Astyanax mexicanus: one gene and its partner. The protein of the gene in region 1 purifies or fractionates together with the protein of each later gene. This does not show direct contact. Links are inferred from orthologs where the notes say so. Each region holds a gene or a part of one and is shown in the gene's direction. Other genes may lie near its edges.

The links. The genes of interacting proteins can lie anywhere in the genome.
Region 2: the proteins of exoc6 (region 1) and exoc2 purify together in Homo sapiens (affinity purification with mass spectrometry; 5 studies listed by BioGRID and IntAct, counting the BioPlex papers as one, with this or other methods). This does not show direct contact. The link is inferred for Astyanax mexicanus from reciprocal best matches to the Homo sapiens genes EXOC6 and EXOC2.

Annotation. Positions count from the first base shown.
Region 1 is NC_064422.1:23,191,278-23,199,087, reverse strand, and holds the start of exoc6 (exocyst complex component 6), read left to right. Parts: upstream 1-4,559; 5' UTR 4,560-4,614; coding exon 4,615-4,799; intron 4,800-7,810. UniProt on the Homo sapiens protein: Component of the exocyst complex involved in the docking of exocytic vesicles with fusion sites on the plasma membrane.
Region 2 is NC_064408.1:76,634,781-76,643,272, reverse strand, and holds the start of exoc2 (exocyst complex component 2), read left to right. Parts: upstream 1-5,167; 5' UTR 5,168-5,279; intron 5,280-7,734; 5' UTR 7,735-7,744; coding exon 7,745-7,862; intron 7,863-8,121; coding exon 8,122-8,298; intron 8,299-8,492. UniProt on the Homo sapiens protein: Component of the exocyst complex involved in the docking of exocytic vesicles with fusion sites on the plasma membrane.

The DNA of each region.
Region 1 (7,810 bases):
ATGTCATATGACCAAGAGGCCAAAAAAACTCGTGTTTTTTCAATTGCAGTCCAGATGCAAGAGTTTTATCTTAGAAGTGTAAAATATTTTTCACAGACGCTCCCCTAAGAAACTAATCCCGTCCGGATAGGGCTTAAAAGTACATGTTCACATATGCCCACTGTTACATGAGATTTACTGTTTTCTGAGTCAACAAACAATCCTCACCTTATTAAAGCTCTTAATTCTGACACCAACCATTCCACAGCCCTCGGGTGCATTTTGCAGCACAGTATAAAGTGCAGGATGCAGGTATGTTATGACTCAGGGTTGATTCAGAGGCAGCATAGTTATTATGGGGAGGAATTGAAGCCCTGTTTAAAAGCATCATTCATTCAGGGAGGTGGGGAGACTAATAAAAAGGCTTGTCTGTGCTAGTACTGATTCTGCTATTATATATCTGACTGGATATTTGTCATGTAACTTACAAGAAAGCATCAAGGTTAAAATGGCAAGACTGCATTCAGCCAACACTCCATGTTTGCAGTTTCCCCATCAGGGATTAAGTCTAGTCTTAGATTATATTTTCCTTTTAACAGAATTTGCAGTGTAGACCAAGACTAGACTTAATCTCTGTCTGGGGAAAGTGCCCCCTCAGAGAGCTGTATTGAATGATGATTAAAACAAGCAGTAAGGTGCTTTATACAGCTATTGTACACTGCCATCTAGTAGAGAGAACTTGTATTGCTCTTAGATGCGGAACATGCTTAAATTCTAAAGTAGAGACAGAACCAGGGTCATTTTTACATTAAACATTTAAGCATTTTATTTTACTTCAAGCACCCAAACCACTCCAGTTAATATTATGTTGTATGTAAAAATTAAATGTATTTTGGGAAATACAAACAGTAAAAAAAAGTGCAGATAAGAGGGAAATACATAGTTTCTTTGACTTTTATTTCATTGCAGACAGTATGAACAAGTGCAGGGCAATGTGGTAAAATTATAGTATAACTATTTAAAGAATGTTTCACTATACACAATATTTATCATCGTATTTATCCCATATCACATGGCAAAACAATTTAGTAGCCATAGAATTAAAACAATGCTAATTATTAAATTATAGGACATACAGTTATTTAAGTGTGACACTTTATCAATATAAACAAGACTAATTACACTGTCTAAAATTACATGTGCTCAGAGAGGCATATAATTTATCACAATAACAAATTTATCATTGCCATATTGCACAGCTCTAGTGTGAACCCATTTGTTAATATACATCCATTCCTGCATAACAGCATAACAGAAGTGTCAGCACCTTCTTAATCAGCATGTAAGCAATGTAAGGCTTTTGAAAAGTAATTATTGGATCATAAGAAAGAAACAAGCTGAATTTTTTATGGCCGTATCCCAAAAGAGAGAAATGAGTCTGGAGAAAATGTGCTGTAGGAATGTGCTCATCCTGTAGGTGCCCTTGGTTCCCTCTGCTGCTGATAAGTCTGGTTATGACCCCGCTTTTTTCAGGAAATCCTGTAAAAAAAAAAAAAAATGGACATCAGCTTAAAAAAGGAAATGTTGGGATGTGAAGAGTAATATATTGTTGTCACGTTGAGTCCAAATTATGAAAATAGTTTGTTTTTTGCTCATATCAGTGAGAATGTTACATGTGTTAATACACACAAACATATATATATATATATAAAGTCTTTTTTCCGCTAATATAATTATATGTACTTTGGAAATACAGTGCTTGTTACAGGCTTTTTTATTTATTGCACATTAACTAATTAAATACTGTTTGATGAAAGTAAGAACTTTTCTTCACTGAACTCTATCACTCTTAACTTAAACCTTTGCCCCTTAGTTTCAGGCAGCATTAATTAAGCTCTAGCCTGAAAATATTTTACAAGAAAGTAATTATCTCTGTTTTGTTGGATTCAAAGTACTGGGAATCACGAGACAGCCCTTTTTGCAGGGGTTGCACTTTTCCTCTTACTCTGGTCACAGTGCTGTCCTGTCAACATTTTTTTTCTAAGTGCTATACACACTTTTCACAGAAAGGGAAAGATGGACAGCAACAAAGCGAGGGCTCCTCCACTAAGCCCTCCAGAAGAAGATTTCAGGGAGGAAAAAATCTACGGGAACGTTTTTGCAGAACTTGAATTAGTAGAGCTGCCTCTGGGAACAACCTTAAGGTACAACTGTTAGTATTTGTATTAATTTTTGATCAATAGTTTGTAATGAAATCACTGTTTATATATATAAATTATATTAACTATACATAATAAAGCTGCATTATCACTCATGTCATTTAAAAAAAAAAAACAGGCCTGGACTGAAATTGACTGGAAAATACCAGTAAAGTCTGTATCTCAAAAACTAAGCTTTGTAAAATTCAATATTTTATTTTTTTTTCTACTTTTTTTTTCTATACTCTTCATGTGGCATACTTGGCAAGGAGAAAAAATCATTGTACAATGAAACTTGCTTCTTTACTGTGCAAATGACAATACTCTTTAAATTTTGAATCTTGGAATCTTTTCCTGTCAGACACTAATACTAAAACTCTCACTGTACTGATGAGCAGCTAAAACAGTCAATTATAAGCTAAACACAGTCTAATGCTTGTGTTCTTTGTATTTTTACATTTAGGTCACTTCATATGCACCTACTACTGATTTACTGGACTAATTACTGCTTCCACTACTATTGCTGCTACAACTACTATTGCTCCTAAAAACTCCTAATATTTATTTCTAACAACTGTTACTCCTACTACTGTTGCATCTACTAACTATACAACAGATTCACACTGCTAGTGTTTTTTTAACACTAATATTGTTCAGTACTGAGCAATAACTGGTTAACTGTGTGCTACTACTTTTATGGCTCTCCAAACGTGCTTTGGATCTCCAAGTAACAGTATTAGGAGTAATAGTCGTTAGTAATAATAAGACTTGTTAGGAGTAATAGTACTATAGCTGTAGCAGCAATAGTAGTGGAAGCAGTAATTAGTCTAGAAGGTGCTTCCCTCTGCTGACAACTTTTAAGAAGTTTTCAACTTTTAAGATTTCATTTTTCAGCAGTACCAATTGGTCTTATATAATGTTCCAATTTTTGGAGAAAGTGATTTTTGGGTTTTCATTGGCTGTAACCATAAAATAGATATGGGTTTCACATTTTGAACAGAATAACTGAAATAAAGTGACTTTTTCAATTATATTATAGTTTTTTTGAGCTGCATTTGTATAATATAAATGGGTCATTCTCCATTTGGAGTGGGAATTCAAGTGGATACATTTTAAAAAATCGATTTAATTTGTCCAGGAAACAAACAACCTTAAAATGTCTATTAACAACTCCACTTACCAAATATGCAAAATGGAGAACTTAATTCCAAATAAATGTAATATATTTTAACATAAAATGTTTTGCTCAATTTGTTACTAGTGTTATTCCATCTTGAAGAATTTATTTCAAAATACAATGTGGCTGAATGTGAAAAAGAAATTGCATTTAACTTAACATGTTACCAAAATATGTTTATAAACAAGCACTAAAATTAACTAAAATAAAGCGGTCTTTCTTTATACTTAAAGGCATCTTCCTATACTATTAAAAAAATAATAATAATACATTTTTTTAAATATAAGAATGAATAATTCTAACATTTCATGCATGATATGTTTATTAAAAATTTAAAAACATATAAAAGGACAAACATCACATGGTCACACATCTGTGACACCAGTGACATTATAGTTAAATTGGAGGATTTTGTGAAAAGCCTGCCTCATTGGCAGTCAAGAGACTGAGAGCAATGAAATAGAAGACATATGGCAATATATTTGATAAAAAAAAGTTACCTGATAAAGCAAAATACTGTCAAATTGATAAAATAAAATGAGCAAGTATGGACCTACCTTCTCATGCCTTGAGATGCTTATTCTTTGAAGACCTGTGACCCAAGAAACAGTTTAACAGAGCTAACAATATCTATGACAAAATATAATATAAGAGTCCTGATAACACCAGTGACCAAAATCTTTGTGACAAAAATATATTTTTTAAATAGAAAATATATATTTTTTAATGTAGTATAATGTTAATCATGTACATAGTAAGTGTGGATTTGTTTTATGAAATCTCAAAAGTTAAACATTTTTAATATTTCTTTTCACTAAAAATGTTTGCTCAAGTGTTGAAAATTGGTTGTGACGAGTTATTTTACATACGTAAAATAAAGAAATATTTTTAAATTTAAAAAAGGAAAATCTAAGAAATCATAAGGAAAATGTGGTTTTCATCTTAGGTTAACTGTCAAAATGTATATACTGACTCTTGAAATTGCCCCTAATATTTTAGGCTTTTTTTTAACCTTCCAACCTTTGTGACATGGTTTCCCACTCCAAATGGAGAATGATACTAATATTACTACTCCTGGTACTGGCTGGAGGCTGGGGAGTATTTTATAATAAACAGGGATGATCCTCAGCTTTTCTCCTCCTGGGCAGTTCTGGTTTTAGGTGTAAATAATCGCGCTAAATTTATAAATCCTGCTGTACTAAACTCCACACGCTGACCTCCTGTTGGCCCTTACTGTGTGCGCGAGCGCGATGCTCCTGAATGGAGAGGGGGGGCTCTCTGTCTCCACCTGTCGGCTGCCCCCCCCTCACTGCGCCTCCCGCCGCATTCTCACAACACACAGCCAACATGGCGGAGAGCGAAACCTTGGAGACTGTTACGGAGCATGAGCGCATTCTGCAGGAGATTGAGAGCACGGACACAGCCTGCGTTGGTCCGACGCTTCGGTAGGAGGCTTTGAGCTTGTTGTTTTGTCCGGGTTGTTGTTTGGTGAGGCGCTGTCTGTGTTCGCCGGGGAGGACGGATGGAGTTGGGCCTTTGTTTGCTAAAGAGAATCTAACGCTGTTAGTCTGCAGAATGACTGACTGACTGAGCGGTCCGTTACACAGCGCTGAGCGGAGGAATAAACCAGCTTCCGCTGACCGCCCCGCTAAAACCATTAGTTCTGAATCATGTCTGAGGGGGCTGGGATGGATGGGTGGATTGGGGCAGTTGACGGGCCGGGAGGCTGGCAGGATGGCAGGATGTGGGCACCTGATAGCCTGTGAGCCGCTGCCGGTGTTCTGTCGGGTTCTGTTACCTGTCGATATGTGCTGTTTCGCTGTTCTGCGCACGCGCGTACCCGCAATTTTAAATGTTAGTCATGATTCATGGGATTTATAAGAGAAAATGTTTCTGTTGTATTCTGCAGTTTTAGCTTACCGTTATTATTATTGTTGGGTAGTTTAAGAGTTAAAAAAAAAAAAAAAACCTACTTAAATATAAAAACCTGTATGGCACAGATTATTATTTTTTTTTAAAGAAAATGATAACCACCACTGCTTTAGCTAGCATTATTTAAACTACAGTGGTTTGGCTGCATGATGTCGCCCTCTGAGATTTAGTTGATTTTTATTGTCCATGTCTGCACTGATGCTTTAAAATCGTATGGTCATGAGAATTTGCCTTAAAGGTATGGAAAATTAATTGTAATTTATTGGTCAAAGAGTGTATGAACCCTGCTATGAATATACACTATGGTAGCACGATTTGACAAGGGAGCACAGTTAGGCACAACACCGGTTCAGGATGATACTGGTTGACTAGCTAGCTAACGTTACAGCTGGCTCAGCTAGCTTGGCAGTTTTCTTTCCGTTAGAGGATGAAATACGTCGGCGTGCGACTGTATGATGACTGATAACGTTAACGATATTTCTTATAGTGTACGTTGGTCATATATAGCGTTACATTGCTGTAAGTTAAGTGGTGGATAGTGGGAGCTTTAGCTGGGCTGTAGTCATCTCCTTGTCTGTCTATCTGTCTGTGGTCAGAATCGCAGGATGTGGCTGGTTCTGAATAAACACTTCATCCTAAACAAAGCCTGTGAAAACTAATCCACAAAAGCACAACCTAAAAATATTTGTTGTGATTTGATTTGGCTTAATAATCATTAGCGGGCGAGCTAGGTTATCTCTTAAGACCACCAGTGTCAGAATAGCGTAGGTTAGCTGGCTAGCTAGCGTATCTAGCTAGCCGATGTCCAGTTTCGCAGATCTGTATACCATACACAGAGCACAGTTGTGTGGAGGAGCATGTGTAGATCAGCGATTCTGCGCAGGACTGCGGGAAGTCTCCTGTTCACCCGCTGATGAAAGGAAGGTTGACTTACATAGCTAGTTCGCTATCTATCTAGGTTTACAGCGGTGTTTTAACAACGCTGGGACACATAAAGAGCATTTTTACACATTATTTAGCTCAGTCCAGCAGTGCTGGTGATTTACAGAGCAGACTTTGGATCTTGACATTGACGCCGCTCGTTAAGTGAAGCAGGTGACTGACTGACTGTCAGTGGGTGTGGTGGTCACGTTAGCCAGGAAGCTAACCTAGCTATTAAACCTTACAGTGAACATACTGAGTATACATCATTCAGTGAGTCTTTATTACCAAATGAAAATACGTGTTTTAGACCCTTTAGACTTTAGACAAGTTGTTCACTGAGATAAGTGATACTTTAGCTCTGTCACAGGTAAAGAAGTAGGCCAGGTGTGCTCAAATATAGCTCTGGAAAAAAATAAGAGATCACTTCAGTTTCTAAATAGGTTTCTCTGATTTTGCTATTTATAGTTATATGTTTGAGTGAAATGAACATTGTGGTTTTATTCTATATACTACTGATGACATTTCTTTCAAATTCCAAATAAAAATATTGTCATTTAGAGCATTTATTTTCAGAAAATGAGAATGTAGATTTTACAAAATTAACAAAAAATAAATAAAATAATGCAAAGAAATAAAAGTTAATATTCGTTTAGAAACCACTGCAATACTAAAGTCTTATATAAGGAGTTTACGATCAATAATTGGTAGAATAACCCAGATTTTTAACCACAGCTCTCATGTGTCTCAACATGCTCTCCGCCAGTCTTTCACACTGCTTTTGGGTGACCTTATGCCACCACTCCTGGTGCAAAAAAATCAGCTTTGTTTGATGGCCTGTGAACATCTATCTTGCTCTTGATTTCATTCCATAGGTTTTCTATGGGGTTCAGGGCTGGAGATTGTGATTGCCATGACACTGTCTTGATTTAGTGTTTTCTCATCCACACCTTAATTGATCTAGCTTTGTGGAATTGAGCATTATCCTGCTGGAAAAAAAACAGTCCTCAGAGTTGGGAAACATTGTCAGAGCAGATGGAAGCAAACTTTCTTCCAGGATAACCTTGAATGTGGCTTGATTCATGCGTCATTCACAAAGACCAAACTGCGCAATTGCTGAAGCATCCCCAGGTCATCACCTATCCTTAACCAAATTTCACAGTGGATTGCAAGTACACCATAGCAGGTCTCTATCTGAACATTTGATGGCCAGGTGTTGAGCAAAGCTGAAAATTGGACATCTTCTCTGAAAATTAAAGAAGATGACCAAACTCCAGTCCTCTATAGTCCAATTCTTATGATCTTTTGCAAACTTCAGCCTGGCTCTTCTTAGGAGTCCTACCCTAGGGGATTGTTTCGAACTTTCTATGTACTTCACCCCAGCTGGCATTTGCCATTCTTTTTATAGGTCTCTTAATGCTGGCTGGCATTTAAATAAGTTGACGATAAATCTCCAGACCTGAACCGCATTGAAAAACCTCCTGATTGTAATCATGTAAGATGTAAGTTGTTCTCAAGCCATTTTTGTGCCAGGAGTGGAATAAGGTCACCCAAAAGCAGTGTGAAAGACCGCCACTATGATTGGGAGATTGCTGGTTCCAAT
Region 2 (8,492 bases), on another chromosome or scaffold:
TTACACAGAGTGGGTGGAGATGTAATCTCACAGTGAATGGAGGTGTATCAGTTCTTTATGTTAGATTTAGTAGTGTATCACTTTTCAGTACATTACAGTGCATTATGAGGAGTACTTTAAACAATTAAGGTATTTTTTATCTGTTTCCAAGTAATGTTTAATATTTTAACATGTTAGTAACATTGTTATAACAGTGATTTAAACTAGCTGTATAATAATATTTCTTAAGCAAAATGACAAAATATTATTATTCTAGAATTTAAAAGTTTATGCTTAATAACACTGTTCTAAAAGGCCAATATCAAGATACCAAGAATTTACCCTCCTTAATAAAAAAGCTTGAAAAACTGATAATGTTTCCATACCAGTTAAAAAGTGCTTCCTCTGTAGTTGGTGGCAAATTAAAAACTGTTTGATTCACTGTTTTTGTGACAAAAAAAACAACAAATGAACATATCTCTACCTGTTTAAAAAAAAAAAAAAAAAAAAAAAAAAATATATATATATATATATATATATATATATATATATATATATATATATATTTCACAGATTAAAACTAAGCAGTGTGTGTAATTTTACATGTCAGTTTAATTATTGGTGAATATGTGACAACCTGCACTATATAGAACATAGAATCACTTGGAAAAAATACATATACACAAAACCTAATATCTACACAATTTCAGCTTTACAGAAGAAAGGTGAAAAACTTTAACTTTTGGTGAGTGTTAATGAAAAAATTATATTGCATTTATTAGGCAATTTTAGAGCATTTCTTTTGGTTCATTCTTCATGACATTCTGTTTCAATTTGAAAAATAACAAATGCTTATACAGAGTTTATTGTTGACAGTGAAAGACTGGCACAACTTTACAAATAAGGCAGAAATCCTTTATTTTTTAGCCCTATACATGAATATGTCAATTGTAAACAATTTAGACAAACCATGACTTATTACTGTACACTAAAACAATGGTTCTCCACAGCAACAAAAATAGGCTCCAAAATAATTCTTAGCTTGACTGTAAAGTACTGTGAAATGTAAATCCTTTAATTAATAGAGAATATTTAGATGTTTATGCACTAGTGTGCAAGTATTAACCTTTGTACTAAAATGCAAAGCCTTTCTTTTCTGTTGAAATTGAGCACCACCAACACAGACTTTCACACGGTGTGGAAGGTTCCCTGCTTCTACGGTTCCCCCTGTTGGTGAAGGTTGTAATATACACTGAAGCCCTTAAATAAATATTCACATCATAGATTTTCACATCATATTTTCTCAATTGCTGCACACTTTCAGAAAAAAAAACACCAAAAGAAAAATCTCCTTCCCCTTTTATATTGTCACAATACATTAATCAGCAAAAACTCCAATGTTCATCATTTTTTACACAACTCTGCACTAAAAAGCAACCTTAGTTACAATTCCACTTTGTAATACACTTAGCACTATATACTTTATTATTTATTGCAGTTTTTCCTAAATTTTGCAAAACATCAAATTTAGTAAAACACATACACCCAAATGTCAACTCTTTTCTCTTTTTTTAACTCCATCATGAAGATTCTTCATAAAGCTCTGGCAAGGGGTGTGTGTGTGTGTGTGTGTGTGTATTCGTTCCTTCACATGGCGCCTTCCCTCCTGGCGATGGGCCCATGGGAACACACTGGGACAGAGCCACTCAAATTAGACAATAGTAAAACAACACACACACAGTCGCAAGTATATATAATCTGAATATTCATCTATAACAGTTTTATATTTAATACAGGAAATAATTGTCTATTTAAAAAGTTGTTTAAGCTGGACAATAACATGTAAAAGACATTGCACTAATCATAACTTCTCAAAATAAAAATCTCTTCATATCACCTGCCTTATAGCAATACGCAATGGGCCATGGTTTACAGTAGAAGTATCAGAGTATTCACAGCTTTCAGTGGCTTTTTTGTCAAATATCAATTTTTAACTAACTAAATATACTAAATAAATAATCAAACATTTTTATTTATAAGAATTGCAAGAAAAGCAGTTTGTTTAAAGTCTGTGTTGGCCAGTGGACTGCAGGAAGAAAATAACATTGGATAATGAAGTAAGTTCATAGCTTTGTCATATAACAATGAAAATATCAAATAAGTGGTCAGCTCCTCAGTTTATTTGTTGATAAATATAAGAATCAGTCTGCTAACAACACAATGGTTTCAATAATTTGATACATCGATAGACAAATCTAAATAAATAGATTTGTTATAATAAATAAAGTTTGTCTGTTAAATATTTTACAATGGGTTTATGTGCAGTTCAGCAAAATAGATTTTACAGCTTCTAATATTCATCCATATAAATTAATAGTAAATCCTCATATTTTTCTTTGATTTCTTCATGTTTCTACTTAAGAAGTAGTTTGTACTTTCAATTAAAGTGGTAACAAGCAATTAAAATAGTTTTATTCAACTCAAATAAATATTTTCAATCAAATATCAGTATGTTTAAAGTATTAATCAAACCATTTTTTTTCTGTGGCAAATTGCTAATAGCCTTTATTTTCAGCAGTTATTGTATAGACCAGGCTTGGGGTCTTGGAGAGGTTGTAACATTTTAGAAAATGTAAAAAATAAATAATGATAATAAACGGTAAGCATAGTCATCATCACCATAGACATCACAAACTATATACATAAATCCCACTCCAGACCTCAAGTTATAAATATCAGACATATAAATAATAAAATATAATAAATATCTTTATGATTCTTAAGCAATATAATAATAGTAGTATAAACTCTTGTGAGTGTTTATGTTTATTCTACTAAGCTCAGCCCCCCTCCAAAAAACACACACACACCCTGGTTGCTTGCTTTCTGTCAGAAGGAACACTGTGCTGCCTCTGCCAAGACCAAATCGTTCTTGATCTCTGAGATTAAGCCGACATAATTAAAAGATTTCAGTCTCTCCCGGGACTCTCTGAGGCTTTATCACTTTATCAGGGGGAAAGTCTCCTTGCCTGAGATAACGGAGCGTGAAGGCGCGCTGCATGGGTGGCCGCTGAAGCAGCCACTATCCTAGAATAAACAGAAATGCAGGGAGAAGAATTCCAATGTAAAACCAAATCACAGTCAAATACAATTTTAGAGTGTATGTATAGAGATCAAATAACCACTAGCAATACTATAGTCTATATCTGAGCGTAATAATATTTTTAGAGTTGTAAAGTATCATAGAGTAACCACAATATAGTAAAGATGGCAAAATAATGACAGGTTATAATTTTGTAACAATAGCAGAAATTAAATCCTTCACAGAAGTGGATTGTATAAAAATGTGCAATAATTTTGGAGACAAAATCAGTAAGAGTAAGCTAAATCAAATCATAGGCAGTTCTGTAAAACTACTGCTGTATTAATAATAATAAAAAAAAATTCAGTGCCCCTTTGCGTGCCCATTTCTTTGGGTCTGCTCCTACTGGAAGTCTTACATAATTGCAGGATGTTTATTGTGTGTATGAGGACAGATTTGAGTGAAATGTGCTTCACAATAAGATGTTTTAGTTTTCTATCAGACATCATTTCCTGAGATACGACTCCCAGCCCGTCATACTTTTCCCATCCTTCACCACCCAGCCTTATTTTTCCATTTTTACTTTGAATTTAAAGACATTTAAAGTCAATTTTGTCAACTGTCCTCATTTGCACTACAAATATGGTTTGTGAAAATGTCAGAAGGCATCTAGACAAAACAGAAAAACAAATAACATATAAAGAAAAAAAACATATAAAGTCAGTCCAAGTGTACACAATTATATGTACCTGCCAGCTAATACAGTTTTGACTTTTTCAGAAAATTGCCCATCTCAAGGTATAATGATAGGCACACACACACACACACACACACACACAGATAAAATTAATATATATTTTTTAGTTTTACTCTTTTACTTCGAAATTCTTTGAATTACTTTTGAAATGACTCAAATCACTTTTTTAAAAGGGCAAATTACATTTAAAATTACATTTGAGCCAAAGAGAAAAGCAAAGCAATCTATCGAGGAGGCAAAATGACAAATGAGTCTTTTGCAGTTTTTGCTGGTACCTGTAGCACAACTTTGAAAATAACTAACTCAAATAGCTGTTAACCTGGTAGACTAAACTAAAAGCTCTTTATCTGATTTACATTCAGCTAGCAATTCTAAACACACTTTTAACCAAACACGAAATACTATTCCCTACATTACATACAGCAATACAAACTCAATACCCTTTTTTATTTTTGGATACACTGCCCTGCAAACACCATACTCATCTACCAGTTACCAAAACCCAGATACAGGTCAAAACTATTCTGCAACATTTCTTTTTTACAAATGTTTACTGTTTTCAGGATACTAGGCAGATTGTCCAGTCTAATCTGAGCTGCACCAATATAGCAATCAGGCAGTGTGGAAAGCTGTGTTATGGCTATGTGAAGTCTAGGCTATACTTCCTCCCACTGGTACTGTAATGTACTCTCCTGCTGTGCAGCACTATACATACTGTATGTCACTTTCATACTTTACTACAATTACTGCAGTGGATTACAAGTTTCTTTATAGTGATGAAGCTTCAAATCTGCCAAAAGAGGCACAAGGCATAGGAACCCATGCCTTCCTCAGTGTCGCTTGGAAGCATGGTGGCAACATCACAAATGGTGTGTGCAACCATTTGCCAGAATGAAGTTCATCATTATCACACTCTTGACAATACCCCAATATGATGACAATATGACTTAACATTCTTTTGTAGATGGTGAATATGTTGTGCTTCATGCGACCCTTGTTTCAGGTTTGCAGTGGCCTTTCCAGGCCCTATGGTTATTTAATTAAGCTGTGAGTTTTGGTACACATAACACAGTTAACAAAACTAATAATGCACGTTTATTTTAGTAGCTAGAGAATTTAGAGGAGGCTATAGCCCCTAAAAAGAGGCCTATGATTTAAATGCAGCTAAAATACTAACAATATTGCAACAATAATATATCTGAATGGTTTTGCTGGTGTTAAACTATTTCTTATTACGTGAAATATCTTGGAATGCCATGAGGAAGTGTTTTTTTTCTTGTGAAAATGTTTCACCTTTTTATCCAGACTACACTTCCAGCATCAACTCAGTCTGTAGCTAAAGTCTGTTCTTTGCAGTGACTGCTGGAGCAGGGAGGGGCCAGAGACGCAGTGACCCGGATGTACACTGAGCGACCAAAACAGCCACAGCCCCTGGTAGAGCGGTGATCTGCGCTAGATTAGGTGGGTTTTAATCTAACATTACACCAGTTAACACGCCGCGGTTTTTATATTAGGTGGTCTTTGTAAGTAATTTATTGTAAAACAGTGTTTTTAGACCTGTGTTTCTCCTGTCAGTCCTAAAGACTGCGCCGATAGCTTCAGAGGCTAACCAGCCGCTCCGCTAACCGAGCTAACTGTTTTTAGCCTCAGCGCTAAGGAACTGTAACGTTAGACTTTTAAACAAATGTAGTTAATTAACGAGGTTATGGTATGGTAGCTAACCTAGCTGGGTAGTATTTATAGCAGCTCTTTGCTGTTCTGAAACACTCCTGTTTTTTTACACTGAAAGCGGTGGTGAAGGTGTTACACCAAGCTCAGCTGTGCTGGTTTGTTATTCTGCTAATGGTTAATAGTAACGCTAGTAGGTGAGCTATTTTGTTTTATTATAAGCAGAACAGATAAGCTGGCGTTAGCTATCTACTGCTGTATGTTAATTTATAGGTCAAATTGTATTTTGGTAATTTTGAGGATAGAGAGCTGTTTCTGAGCAGAGCTGGTGGAGGACAGGGTTCAGTATCTCTCTGCTTTAAAGTGAACCCACTAAAGTACTTTTAACAAATGCTTTAAAAGAGATCACTGGCCTGTTTATTAGAATTTCATCTGCTTTGATCCTCTGACTAACATGACAAGTTTACAGGCTACAGGCATTAATACAGTTGCTGTTGTAAAAATCATGTGACATCCTTAACCGCCTCCCTGAATCAGTTACATACTAGCCAAGTCCTACATTTTCACCTCTCTTACATTTTTTCAGACTGCTTGAACACAATTCTGTATGCTGGTTTTACAAAAAAGCTTTTCACAAAAAAAAAAACACACTTCCAAACTGTAAAATACTTAATTGATTCTGCAAAATAAAGCACAGAAACCAAAACCACATATAGCATTATCAAAACCAAACTTTTGCACCTAAGTGTACACAATTATTTCATATTAACAATTTTTTGTTTATCCACCTACTACTTACTGTTGGGAATAATGAAAAGCGCTCTCATCTTTAGTAAGTTTTGTCACACTACTAAAATAGTTGAAATTGTAGAAAAGTCTTCAGATTGTTCACATGCACAGACAAATTTGCACATACACACACACATACTGCTGTAATTTTGTTTTTCACCACCCAGTGAATAACTGTAATTTTACAATCATTTTTGGCAACTGTTTTGACATTTCCTTATTGTAAAATTCACAAGAAACGTTTTACATTGTACAGTGGCAAAAAGTCAGAGTAAAGTGAAAGGTTGTTATTAAACATGCACACCCCTACTTCATATGTGTTTAATTTATCACACCATCATACTTTTCATTCAAAGAACAATAAATTTTGGCCAACTGTCCTCATATGTACTGTAAATATGATTAGTAAAAAGATCAAACAGCAACTAGGCAAAAAAAAAGATACATTTTTAGATTGTAATGCTTGTTTTTAAAATATATTAGGCCAACAATATAGTGCATGTGTACACACTCATATGTTTATAAAACTTCGGTTTATAAACCATTTTCCTAATTATTTTTTCTGTCTTAGATAGAGATTATCTTTACACGTGCAAGTGAAACAAAAAGGGAAAAATATGTAATATCGCCTACCTACATTCTCAGTGTAGTCTACTGTATGGTTTAATATTTAGTTTTTTTTTATGGAGATGCTACAGAGAGCACATAACCTTGGATGATTTTTAAGAAAACATTTTCAGAAAGCTGATGTAACAGCATTGTCCTTTAAGCTTGTTGAATAATAGCCTTTGTGCTCCTAGTTTAGTAATGCTGTGTGAAGGTGGCAGACACAGCTACTGGGTAGATTAGGGAGAATACTTGCAATGCTGTATCGGTTTTCTTGTATCAGGTTTTAATCAGCAGTTTACACGGAAAAGTTGTTGTCAGACAGTGATTTAACCAAAAGATATTGTTGATACAGTGATACAGTAATGTACTTGTACTATCATTACAGTTACAATTAAATATAATTTTGCCACTTATGCAAATAAGCAAATAACTCTCTGAAGAATTGAATAATAATGTTATCTAAATTAAAATAGTGCTTCTTATATATTAGAACTAAGCTGTAAAATACACTATGTGTAGAGTTGTAGATATAGCTGTAATTAGAGCTCTATAGAACCATGACATTTTTAAATATTGAAAAAATTATATTTGATTCAATCTTTGTGTGAAAAAAAACTTTATAGAACCTAAAATATTTTTTTCACCAAACCATAATTATGTGGGACAATTACATCAGGATCATACAGTTTAAAAAATATATCAGACAAATGTATGTGATGAATATTTAAAACTGATATTTACAATTTTAAACAACAAACAATCCTTACAGCAGATGCACTGCCTTTGTTAAGCAGCATAGATTTGCAGTAATCACATTTAATATTTTTCTTTGTCCTCTTTGCATTTGCAGTGTGGGAACAATGTCTCGTGCCCGCCAACCTCCTCTAGTGACTGGCATCTCGCCCAATGAGGGCACACCATGGACTAAAGTCACTATCCGTGGAGAAAACCTGGGAACCGGACCCAATGACCTTATCGGTAACATGCACAGTGCTGAATATATAAAGACTTAATAGTTTAGTCTAAAGGGAGTAATCAAAAGTCACAGAGATGTATTTAAGTGACTCTTTTTTATTTAAATGTTTAATGTGAAGGCTCTGTTTATCATGATATTCAATTTTTTTTATTACTTATTTAAAAGAAACATTTCTATTTATATATATCTTTTATTATTATCTGAAAATGAGCACCTGTTTTCCAGGCTAAGAGTATAATTCTGCTTCTGTATTCCTTTCAGGTCTGTCTATCTGTGGTCATAACTGTCTGCTGACGGCAGAATGGATGTCTGCAAGTAAGATTGTGTGTCGAGTTGGTCCTGCTAAAGATGACAAGGGCGAGATCATAGTCACAACCAGGAGCGGAGGCCGAGGCACATCCACTGTGTCCTTCAAACTCCTCAAACATGAGAAGATAGGTTAGAAATGCACTTGCATGTTTTAGATCTTTCTGTGTGTATATAGTCATATACAGCAATGGCAATTGTTATCTTAAACAAAGATTAGAATTGTGGCAGCAAATAGAATGTACATATACAGTATTGTCTTTGAAGTTTGTAAATTATTAAATATATCGTATGACAGGCTTATAAACAAGGTTTATACATTGAAT